Linked DNA regions of Macaca mulatta. The protein of the gene in region 1 purifies or fractionates together with the protein of each later gene. This does not show direct contact. Links are inferred from orthologs where the notes say so. Each region holds a gene or a part of one and is shown in the gene's direction. Other genes may lie near its edges.

Region 1 (3,647 bases):
GTGGAGGGATTTGAACAAAGTCATGCTCCTAAGGTGCTTAGCAGTGCTTGACACTTGGAAAACACTCAGCAGGCCAGGGGCCATGGCTCATGCCTGTAATCCTGGCACTTTGGGAGGCAGAGGCAGGAAGACTGCTTGAGGCCAGAAGTTCAGGACTAGCCTGGGTAACACAGTGAGACCCCATCTCTACACGAAATTTTTTAAAATTAGGCAGTCATGATGGTGCACACCTGTAGTCCCAGCTGCTGGGGAGACTGAAGTAGGAAGATCACCTGAGCCTAGGAGGTCACCTCGGAGGCCGAGGCTGCAGTGAGCTATGATTGCACCACTGCACTGCAGCCTGGGCAGCAGAGCAAGACCTCGTCTCAAAAAGAAAACCAATTAAAATAATGCTATTAATCCCCTCAGGAGTACAGACAGACACTGTTCTAGGCCCTGGGGATTCAGCCATGAACAAAACTAAGTCCCTGCCCTCACAGAGCTGATAACCCAGTCGGGGAGACAGAGCAAAATGAATAGATGAGCAAGATCATGTTAGCCTGGGCTGAGAGCTGTGAAGAAAATAAACAGGACGAGGGAGAGCTGGCCTGGGGAAGACACATTAGGTCAGGCCTTTCTGAAGAGATAACATACGAGCTGAGACCAGGAGAAGCAGCCAGCATGGGTTGAATGGGGGACCGTGCGGAACAGGCAGTTGGAGGAGCAAGCCCTTTCTTATTTATTTAAGTTATTTTTTCAGACAGTCTTGCTCTGTCGCCCAGGCTGGAGTGCAGTGGTGCTATCTCAGCTCACTGCAACCTCCGCTTCCTAGGTTCAAGCAATTCTCCTGCCTCCTGTCTTCCGAGTAGCTGGGATTACAGGCATGCGCCACCACGCCCAGCTAATTTTTGTATTTATTGATTTATTTATTTAGAGATGGAATTTCGCTCTTGTTGCCCAGGCTGGAGTGCAATGGCACGATCTTGGCTCACTGCAACCTCCACCTCCCGGGTTCAAGTGATTCTCCTGCCTCTGCCTCCCGAGTAGCTGGGACTACAGGCGCACATCACCATGCCCAATTTGTGTATATATATATATTTTTTTGTTTGTTTTGTTTTGTTTTGTTTTTTGAGACAGAGTTTTGCTGTGTCACCCAGGCTGGGGTGCAGTGGCATGATCTTGGCTCACTGCAAGCTCCACCTCCCAGATTCACGCCATTCTCCTGCCTCAGCCTCCTGAGTAGCTGAGACTACAGGCGTGTGCTACCACGCCTGGCTAATTTTTTTTATTTTTAGTAGAGACAGGGTTTCACTGCATTAGCCAGGATGGTCCGAATCTCCTGACCTCGTGATCCACCAGCCTTGGCCTCCCAAAGTGCTGGGATTACAGGCGTGAGCCCCTGCGCCCGGCCTATTATTTATTTATTTAGAGACGGAGTCTTGCTCTGTCGCCTAGGCTGGAGTGCAGTGGCGCGATCTTGGCTCACTGTAATGTCCGCCTCCTGGGTTCAAGCTGTTCTCCTGCCTCAGCCTCCCGAGTAGCTGGGATTACAGACGTGGGAGACCATGTGGGCTAATTTTTGTAGAGACGGGGTTTCACTACGTTGGCCAGGCTGGTCTCGAACTCCTGACCTCTATTGATTCACCCACCTCGGCCTCCCAAGGTGCTGGGATTACAGGCGTGAGCCACCGCATCTGGCCTCCCTGACTGTGTGTGTGTGTGTGTGTGTGTGTGTGTGTGTGTGTGTGAGATAAATGGGATGGAAAATGTCTTGGGGTTAATCAAGCGTTTTTTTTTTTTTTTTTTTTTTTTAATTTTTAAAGAATCGGAGTCACCACCCGTTTTTTCTTCTCCCGCAGAGATAATCGATGAGTACATCAAGGAGAACGGCTTCGGCCTGGATGGGGGGCAGCCGGGCCCGGGCGAGGGGCTGCCGCGCCTGGTGTCTCGCGGGGCGGCCTCGCTGAGCACGGTCACCCTTGGCCCTGTGGCGCCCCCAGCCACCCCGCCGCCCTGGGGCTGCCCCCTGGGCAGGCTGGTGCCGCCCGCGCAGGGCCCAGGCCCGCAGCCGCACCTGGTCATCACCGAGCAACCCAAGCAGCGCGGAATGCGCTTCCGCTACGAGTGCGAGGGCCGCTCGGCCGGCAGCATCCTTGGGGAGAGCAGCACCGAGGCCAGCAAGACGCTGCCCGCCATAGAGGTGGGCCCGGCGAGCGGCCCCGGGCGGGTGGGACTGGGTCTTCCCCTGCACCCTGGAGCAATCCGCATGCATTTATACGTTTATTTGATGGTGGCTAATATTACTGTTATTGGTGGACCAGATATTAATTATACTATCACCTGGCCTGGAATCCAAAAGATTCAGAAAAAAGGAGGGGTCGGACATTTGGCTGGGCAGGGTGGCTCACCCCTGTAATCCCAGTACTTTGGGAGGCCGAGGCGGGCGGATCCCCTGATGTCAGGAGTTCGAGACCAGCCTGGCCAACATGGTGAAACCCTATTTGTACTAAAAGTACACAAATTAGCCGGGTGTGGTGGCACAATCCCAGCTATTTAGGAGGCCGAGGTGGGAGGATCACCTGAGCCCAGGGAGGTGCAGGCCGCCGTGAGCTAAGATTGCACCACTGCACAGCAGTCTGAGTAACAGAGTAAGACCTTGTCTCAAAAAAAAAAAAAAAAGAAAAAGAAAAAATGAAGGTAGTGCACGGTGCGGTGGCTCAGGCTTGTAATTCTAGCACTTTGGGAGGTTGAGGCAAGCGGATCACTTGAGATCAGGAGTTCTAGATGAGCCTGGGCAAGATGGCAAAACCCCATTTCTAGAAAAAATATAAAAATTAGCCAGGCATGGTGGCACATGGCTGTAGTCCTAGCTACATGGTAGGACTGAGGTAGGAGGATCGCTTGAGCCTAGGATGTCAAGGCTACAGTGAGCCAAGATTGCACCACTGCATTCCAGCCTGGGCAACAGAGCAAGACCCTGCCTCAATTAAAAAACAAATATATATATATATATATACACACACACACACACTGGAAGTAAAAAACGCAAAGGTGATTACTTTTGGCAGGGTATTAACATGTTAATAAGGTACAGGTAAGTTTTTTTGTTTTTTGTTTTTTTGAGATGGAATCTTGTTCTGTTGCCCAGGCTGGAGTGCAGTGGTGTGATCTCGGCTCACTGCAACCTCCATCTTCTGGGTGCAAGCGATTCTCCTGCCTCAGCCTCCCGAGTAGCTGGGATTACAGGTCCACCACCGCACCTGGCTAATTTTTGTATTTCTTAGTAGAGATGTGGTTTTGCCGTGTTGGCCAGGCCGGTCTTGAACTCCTGACCTAAAGTGATCCACATGCCTTGGCCTTCCAGAGTGCTGGGATTACAGGTGTGAGCCACCATGCCTGGCCTCTTTGGTGTCTGTTAATCTGGATCTGTTCTTCAATCTGTCTTTGTGTTTCGTGACATGAACACTTGTGGAGAACAGGATGGATGTTTTGTAGAATGTCCCAAATTCTGAGGCCAGGTGTTGTGGCTCATGTCTGTAATCCTAGCACTTTGGGAGGCCGAGGCAGGCGGATCACCTGAGGTCGGGAGTTCGAGACCACGCTGGCCAACATGGAGAAACCCCGTCTCTACTGAAAATACGAAATACAGGTCATGGTGGCATACGCCT
Region 2 (4,347 bases), on another chromosome or scaffold:
GAAGGATTGGTTAGTACATGGCCAGTCAAGGTAAAGATGATTGCAATCATCACCAGAAATCTCTGCAGAACTACAGAGGGCTCCTGGGACTAATTCTGAAGAGCTCTGACCGAAGTGTGCTTTATTTTGCCTGTACCAATTCTACCAAGTAGATGAATTCAGTCCATGGCTTGCAGGCTTGGAGGTGGAGGTGGGATGGAGAGCATAAATTACATTTCTGCAGGTGAAACCAGAGCATAGTGAGCCAAAACCCCTTTCTACCTGGGTGGCATGAATGGGTCCAACTGCTACTATCCCCCAGGACGAGGGAGCAAGGCGGGGGGGGGGCAGGATGGGAGGATGGGGCTGCCTTGAGCCTCCTGCAGGATGACTGGCAACTACTTTCTTAGCGGTCCTTAAGGTCCAATCGCGGTTAAGGCACTAACTAAACTCATTCTTCAGCCTCCTTCTCTAAGTGCTCCTCGAATTGCTCAGTTTAGATGCCCAGAAGTAGGCTCAGGATCCATTCTCTGCGGCAGCACAATGTAGGTCAGATAGCATGAATGCAACAGCTACTTATGAACACAATAGCTACTCTGTTATTGCAAGGTATCCACAACCACCACTACAAAGATTAACACCTTGCTTTACTTGGGGGGAAAAAAAAAAATCATGGTCCTATTCAGCAGTTTCCCCATACAGGGAGAGTTTGCCCCTCCCCCACTCAACAAGGCTGTTCATCCCTAGGAAGTGATTGGAAGTGATTTGAGAGTTTTCCAAAGATTTAGGCTTTCCACTCCTCCAAAGCTTTCACAGTTCTACCTGGCAGAGGTGCGTGGGGGGTAGGGGAGGAAGGGCGCGAAGCTAAACGTCCCCGTTCTGCAATGAGCCTGATATTAGCAGAAACACAAGAGCGGCCTGCAGCCCCATAACCACAGTGCGTCCTTCCCCTTAGAAGTCTGGGGAAAGAAAATCCCTACGCCCAGCCATCATTTCCACTCTTGCGTTTTCAAAAGATCAAAAAACGGAAAGGACCGGCAGGTTGGCAAACCCCAAAGAGGGACCGCCCATCATGTCGGCGTCCTTGGGATCTCAGCAGCCGACGACCCCAATTCAAATCGATCGTGGGAAACCCCAGGGAAAGAAGGTTCACTTGCAGAGAGACAGGATTACAGGGTGCAGGCTGCAGGGAAGTACCGCGGGGAAGGGGGCCTGGTCGGAAGGACTTTCCAGCCACTTGGCACTCATCAAAAAGTTCCCTGTCCGTGACCCCAGTGGCTCATCGCAGGGAGTTTCTCCGACGAACCCCAGCTCAGGGTTTAGGCTTCTTTTTCCCCCTAGCAAAGGACGAAGCCAGTTCTCTTTTCTGGTCTGACTGGCTTGGAAATTCCCCGCGCCTGACCCCGCCCCAGAGAAATCCCCAGCCAGCGTTTATAGGGCGCCGCGGCGGCGCTGCAGAGCCCACACCAGCCCGTGCCGCCGTCCCGCCCGCCAGCGCCCTAGCGAGGAAGCAGCGCGCAGCCCGCGGCCCAGCGCACCCGCAGCAGCGCCCGCAGCTCGCCCGCGCCATGTTCCAGGCGGCCGAGCGCCCCCAGGAGTGGGCCATGGAGGGTCCCCGCGACGGGCTGAAGAAGGAACGACTGCTGGACGACCGCCACGACAGCGGCCTGGACTCCATGAAGGATGAGGAGTACGAGCAGATGGTCAAGGAGCTGCAGGAGATCCGCCTCGAGCCGCAGGAGGTGCCGCGCGGCGCGGAGCCCTGGAAGCAGCAGCTCACCGAGGACGGGGACTCGTAAGTGGCGCAGACCCGGAGCCGGGGGTCCTCGGGAGGGCCGGATGCGCGCGGCCGGGGAGTGGGAGACGCCGGGCCTGGAGCCCGACCTGGGGAACTAGCGATGCAGCCGGGCTGGCGCCGCGGCGCCCCGGGGCTCCTGCACCGCCCCGAACGCTGCAGGGCTGCAGGGCCGCGCGGGGCACCGGCCCGACTCGGAGGGGCGGCGGCTGGGCCCTGGTGGACGGCAGCGTCGCCACACGCCCCCTCCCCCCAGGCCTGTCCTCTAGGCCGGGGGCGGGGCGGCAGCTGGGACGCGAAGTCCCCGGTTGCATAAGGCGTTTCTGGCCGCTGGCGGGCGCCGAGCAGCCGGGAGGGGAAGTACAGGGCGTTCCGAGCTGGCGGGAGGGCGGGGCGGTCTGGCCGGCGCCCGCCGGGGCCGCGGGGGGAGGGGGGCGGAAAGTCCCTGGGCGCCTGCCAGGAACACTCAGCTCATAATAACCTCGCGGAAAACACCGCGGCCTCGGCCTCCAGAAACCCCGGCCTTGCGCAATCCCCCGCAGCCCGCGCCTCCCTGGGCCCCACGCGGTGCACTCACCACCCCTGGGGTTTTTCCCTCTCTTCCCCACAGGTTTCTGCACTTGGCCATCATCCATGAAGAAAAGGCACTGACCATGGAAGTGATCCGCCAGGTGAAGGGAGACCTGGCCTTCCTCAACTTCCAGAACAACCTGCAGCAGGTGCGCCGCTTGCCTGGCCCGGGCTCTCTAACTCTGGGATGGAACTGATGTAGCAAAGTCACCCCAGATCCTTTCTGAATTCAGGGCCACTGGGCATTATTCACCCTCACCTTTTACTTCACGTCAGCCCACATCCTAGAGAGTGAAGGAAATTCCACTGATTTGGTGAGGTCTTTGTGACCCACCTGGAGTCTCTGCTATTTGCCAGTCCTCCCCACCCGCCTGTCCAGGAGGAGCAGCACCCAACCAGGAGACACGGGTTCAGGGGAACTCAGGGTGTGGGTTTGGTCCCTGGCTTACTTTCTCTGGTCTCTCCTGCATTCGTAGACTCCACTCCACTTGGCTGTGATCACCAACCAGCCAGAAATTGCTGAGGCACTTCTGGGAGCTGGCTGTGATCCTGAGCTCCGAGACTTTCGAGGAAATACCCCCCTACACCTTGCCTGTGAGCAGGGCTGCTTGGCCAGCGTGGGAGTCCTGACTCAGTCCTGCACCACCCCGCACCTCCACTCCATCCTGAAGGCTACTAACTACAATGGTATGTCTGCCTCCCTGCCCTGCCCCACCCCCTCAGGTGGCAGGTGATGTGGAGAAGGGGCAGGTGGGCCAACTTAAGGAGTCGAGGCAAGAACTTAAACTGCCAGCATTTGAAAGGTTGAGAAAATACGTGTGCAAAGTGCCTGTTGGATGCCTTTATAAAGTTCCTTCAGAACCCAGACGGTGGGTTCTTAAAATTCAGAAGATATGACTATTTGTCCCATAAAAGAATAGGTGAAAGGAGTGAGGGTTGAAACAGGTGGTTATACTTTTTTCGTTTTGTTCTTCCAGGCCACACGTGTCTGCACTTAGCCTCTATCCATGGCTACCTGGGCATTGTGGAGCTTTTGGTGTCCTTGGGTGCTGATGTCAATGCTCAGGTTAGTGCTTCCTGCCTCCGATGCACTGAGTCAAGTTCCCCGTGCTCATGTTGTGAGCAGAAATTCCAAACGCAGCCATAAGCATCTCAAATTCCTTTTGGTTTCAGGAGCCCTGTAACGGCCGGACTGCCCTTCACCTCGCAGTGGACCTGCAGAATCCTGACCTGGTGTCGCTCCTGTTGAAGTGTGGGGCTGATGTCAACAGAGTTACCTACCAGGGCTATTCTCCCTACCAGCTCACCTGGGGCCGCCCAAGCACCCGGATACAGCAGCAGCTGGGCCAGCTGACACTGGAAAACCTTCAGATGCTGCCGGAGAGTGAGGATGAGGAGAGCTATGACACAGAGTCAGAGTTCACGGAGTTCACGGAGGATGAGGTGAGTCTGTGAACTCCTTGGGCTCTCTAACTAATGAGGGACCATTCCCTTCACCCTCCCGGGCCCCTAGAACTGCTCCTTATCAGAGGGGTATCTACATAATGAGTCTCTCAAATTTCTGTGCATAACCAGTATCCCAATAATGTACCTTTTTTTTTTTTTAAAATAGCTTACCCTTTTTTAAAGAAAAGCATTTTTTAAAACATTTTTAAAATGGGAGTTAAAGGCAAACTCCCTCAGCCTGTAAAGTTCATTGTATTTGGGCTATGGAGAATGGAGTCCAAGGGTTATTTCCAGTAGCGGCCTCCCCATCCCAGTGGCTTGGCAGAGCTTCGGAAGTTTAATGTGTCTTCTTTCCCCTTGTTTTCAGCTGCCCTATGACGACTGTGTGTTTGGAGGCCAGCGTCTGACATTATGAGCGCAAAGGGGCTGAAAGAACATGGACTTGTATATTTGTACAAAAAAAAGTTTTATTTTTCTAAAAAAAGAAAAAAGAAAAAAAATTTAAAGGGTGTACTTATAGCCACACTGCACACTGCCTGGCCCAAAACGTTTTATTG
Region 3 (2,710 bases), on another chromosome or scaffold:
GCTCCCCTAGGCTGGTCCACCTGGCAGTGATTCACGAGGCCCCAGCGGTGCTGCTCTGTTGCCTGGCTTTGCTGCCCCAGGAGGTCCTGGACATTCAAAATAACCTTTACCAGGTTGGTGGCGAGAGAGGGTTGTGCCTAGATACCTGTTTGTGCCCTGGCAGCCATCCCCAGCAGGCACACCAGTCCAAAGGCTGCTCACTTAGGAAACCAAATGCCAGACACAGCTAGAAACTGAGGAGACAGACACAAGTAAGACATGGCCTCTGCGCTGAGGTGCTTGCAGCCTGGGCTGGGGGACTCATATCACCAGCTAAATACACAGCCTGGTGACAAGAGTTGTGATAGAGACACATACCAGCTGCTGTAGGGTCCAGGGTCTGTGTGCAGCAGCCAGGGAAGGCTTACAGAGGAGATGACATCTGAATGGAGCCTTCACAGAGAGTTTCGCCAGGGAGGGACTGCCTGGTGCCTCTCTTTCCTCCTGCAGCCTACCCTCTGGGGGTAACAGAGGTCTCCCCATGGGGTGGGGGGCTAGACTCTGCCCCCACATGTCCTTTCTCCAGGGCCTAAGGTGACTTACAAGAAAAGCAGGGAGCTACTTTCTTCACCTTTCTTCCAGAATTGGGGTCACAAGAGCTTGGTGGGGGAGGGGGTGACAGGAGAAGGGCTTGGTAGGATTTCCTTGGAAGAACAGGCTATGGCCTTAATGAGCTACTTTCAAAGAAGATGCTGGCAGCTGGTGATTCTTGAGCCCAAGCATGTTCCCAGAGGTGGGAGCATGCTGCAGTGGCCCCATGACCCTCTGTTTGTGCCTCCAGACAGCACTCCATCTGGCTGTACATCTGGACCAACCGGGTGCAGTTCGGGCACTGGTGCTAAAGGGGGCCAGCCGGGCACTACAGGACCGGCATGGTGACACAGCCCTTCATGTGGCCTGCCAGCGCCAGCACCTGGCCTGTGCCCGCTGCCTGCTGGAGGGGCGGCCAGAGCCAGGCAGAGGAACATCTCACTCTCTGGACCTCCAGCTGCAAAACTGGCAAGGTGTGGACAGTCTTAAGGGCCTGTGGGATGAGGAGGGCATAGGAGATAGGGACCCCACTCTTGGGGAAGGGAGGGTCCCAGCTTGTCCATTGGTGCCCCTCCCACTCTAAGCACATAGATATTCCGTACATCTTTGCTAAATGAATGAATGGATGATTTGATTTTGAATTTACCCAGTACCTACTGTGTGCTGAGCAGAAAACTAAATCTTGCCCTTAAGATACTTAGTTTAAGGGCCGGGTACGGTGTCTCACGCCTGTAATCCCAGCACTTTGGGAAGCCAAGGCAGGTGGATCACGAGGTCAGGAGATCGAGACCATCCCAGCTAACATGGTGAAACCCCGTCTCTACTAATAATACAAAAAATTAGCCGGATGTGGTGATGGGCACCTGTAGTCCCAGCTACTCAGGAGGCTGAGGCAGGAGAATGGCGTGAACCCGGGAGGCGGAGCTTGCAGTGAGCCAAGATTGGGCCACTGCACTCCAGCCTGAGCGACAGAGAGAGACTCCATCTCAAAAAAAAAAAAAAGATAGTTAGCTTAATAGAGATTAGATGACCTGATTCATTCATTCAACAGAAATGTACTGAGGGTTTTCTATGTGCCAGACATTATCTTGGGAGCTACACCTGCATCTGGGTGCAAAATAGAGAAAGGTTGAGATGAGCAATAAATATAAGAAGTGAACTGTGTAATATCATAAAAGGAAGTAAGTGCTGTAGTAAAAAGTAGAGCGGAGTGAGAGGAAGGAATGTGGGGAGTAGGAGAGTTGATATGATTGTTAAATAGGGTGGCCCGGGAAGGCCTCATGGAGCCAGTGACATCTGAATAGGGCCTTGAAGGAGGTGAAGAATGTAAATTTGAATCGAAATCTCTATTACTAAGCAAGGGTCAGGAGTGTCCAGACCAGAAAGGAGAGCAAAAAGGCCAGGGGAGCACAGAAGGAAGTGGCCACTGAGAAAGGGCTGGGGTCATGAGGATCTTAGGTGGCTTTTCAGAAAAGGTGGCTTTCTGGGCTTGAAGGCAGGTTGTGTGTGTGTGTGTGTGTGTGTGTGTGTGTTGTGATTTGTGTATAGGAGGAGGGTGTTCTTTGGGGGTGTCACTCAGCAGCCTGACCCCTGAAGCATGAAAGTTTCAATAACATGACTCTGAAAAGGTGGAAACTTTGAGTTCCTTTCCCCTTAGACTTTTGAGGGGGTTTTGGGGTTTGCATTTTAACAGTCTTGTGATTAGAGACATTGAGTGGGCAGTGAGTCCCTTGGGGCTGAGTGATAGGGAGGTCCCAGAAGAGAGGGAGTTGGTGGATGCAGATGAGCAGCCCTCACCCTCACCCCATCCCAGGTCTGGCTTGTCTCCACATTGCCACCCTTCAGAAGAACCAACCACTCATGGAACTGCTGCTTCAGAATGGAGCTGACATTGACGTGCAGGTGAGGCAGCCAGCAAAGCACTGCCCAGCCCAGGGCCTGCCCCCACCTGACACAGCCCCAAGCCCCTGCCCAGCAGTCAGAAGTGGTGGCATTCACCTCCTTATCCAGAGCCCAGGCCCAGCACACTGCCTCTGAGGGCCTTGGCTGACATCCTTATTCCTTCCCAGGAGGGCACCAGTGGGAAGACAGCGCTGCACCTGGCTGTGGAAACCCAAGAGCGGGGCCTGGTACAGTTCCT

What was found.
Region 2: the proteins of RELB (region 1) and NFKBIA purify together in Homo sapiens (affinity purification with mass spectrometry; 4 studies listed by BioGRID and IntAct, counting the BioPlex papers as one, with this or other methods). This does not show direct contact. The link is inferred for Macaca mulatta from reciprocal best matches to the Homo sapiens genes RELB and NFKBIA.
Region 3: the proteins of RELB (region 1) and NFKBIE purify together in Homo sapiens (affinity purification with mass spectrometry; 3 studies listed by BioGRID and IntAct, counting the BioPlex papers as one, with this or other methods). This does not show direct contact. The link is inferred for Macaca mulatta from reciprocal best matches to the Homo sapiens genes RELB and NFKBIE.

What each region holds. Positions count from the first base shown.
Region 1 is NC_133424.1:57,520,319-57,523,965, forward strand, and holds part of RELB (transcription factor RelB), read left to right. Parts: intron 1-1,838; coding exon 1,839-2,179; intron 2,180-3,647.
Region 2 is NC_133412.1:108,520,499-108,524,845, reverse strand, and holds the start of NFKBIA (NF-kappa-B inhibitor alpha), read left to right. Parts: upstream 1-1,457; 5' UTR 1,458-1,547; coding exon 1,548-1,774; intron 1,775-2,384; coding exon 2,385-2,493; intron 2,494-2,820; coding exon 2,821-3,031; intron 3,032-3,321; coding exon 3,322-3,410; intron 3,411-3,517; coding exon 3,518-3,787; intron 3,788-4,157; coding exon 4,158-4,205; 3' UTR 4,206-4,347. UniProt on the Homo sapiens protein: Inhibits the activity of dimeric NF-kappa-B/REL complexes by trapping REL (RELA/p65 and NFKB1/p50) dimers in the cytoplasm by masking their nuclear localization signals.
Region 3 is NC_133409.1:137,854,208-137,856,917, forward strand, and holds part of NFKBIE (NF-kappa-B inhibitor epsilon), read left to right. Parts: intron 1-10; coding exon 11-113; intron 114-820; coding exon 821-1,043; intron 1,044-2,383; coding exon 2,384-2,472; intron 2,473-2,639; coding exon 2,640-2,710. UniProt on the Homo sapiens protein: Sequesters NF-kappa-B transcription factor complexes in the cytoplasm, thereby inhibiting their activity. Sequestered complexes include NFKB1-RELA (p50-p65) and NFKB1-REL (p50-c-Rel) complexes.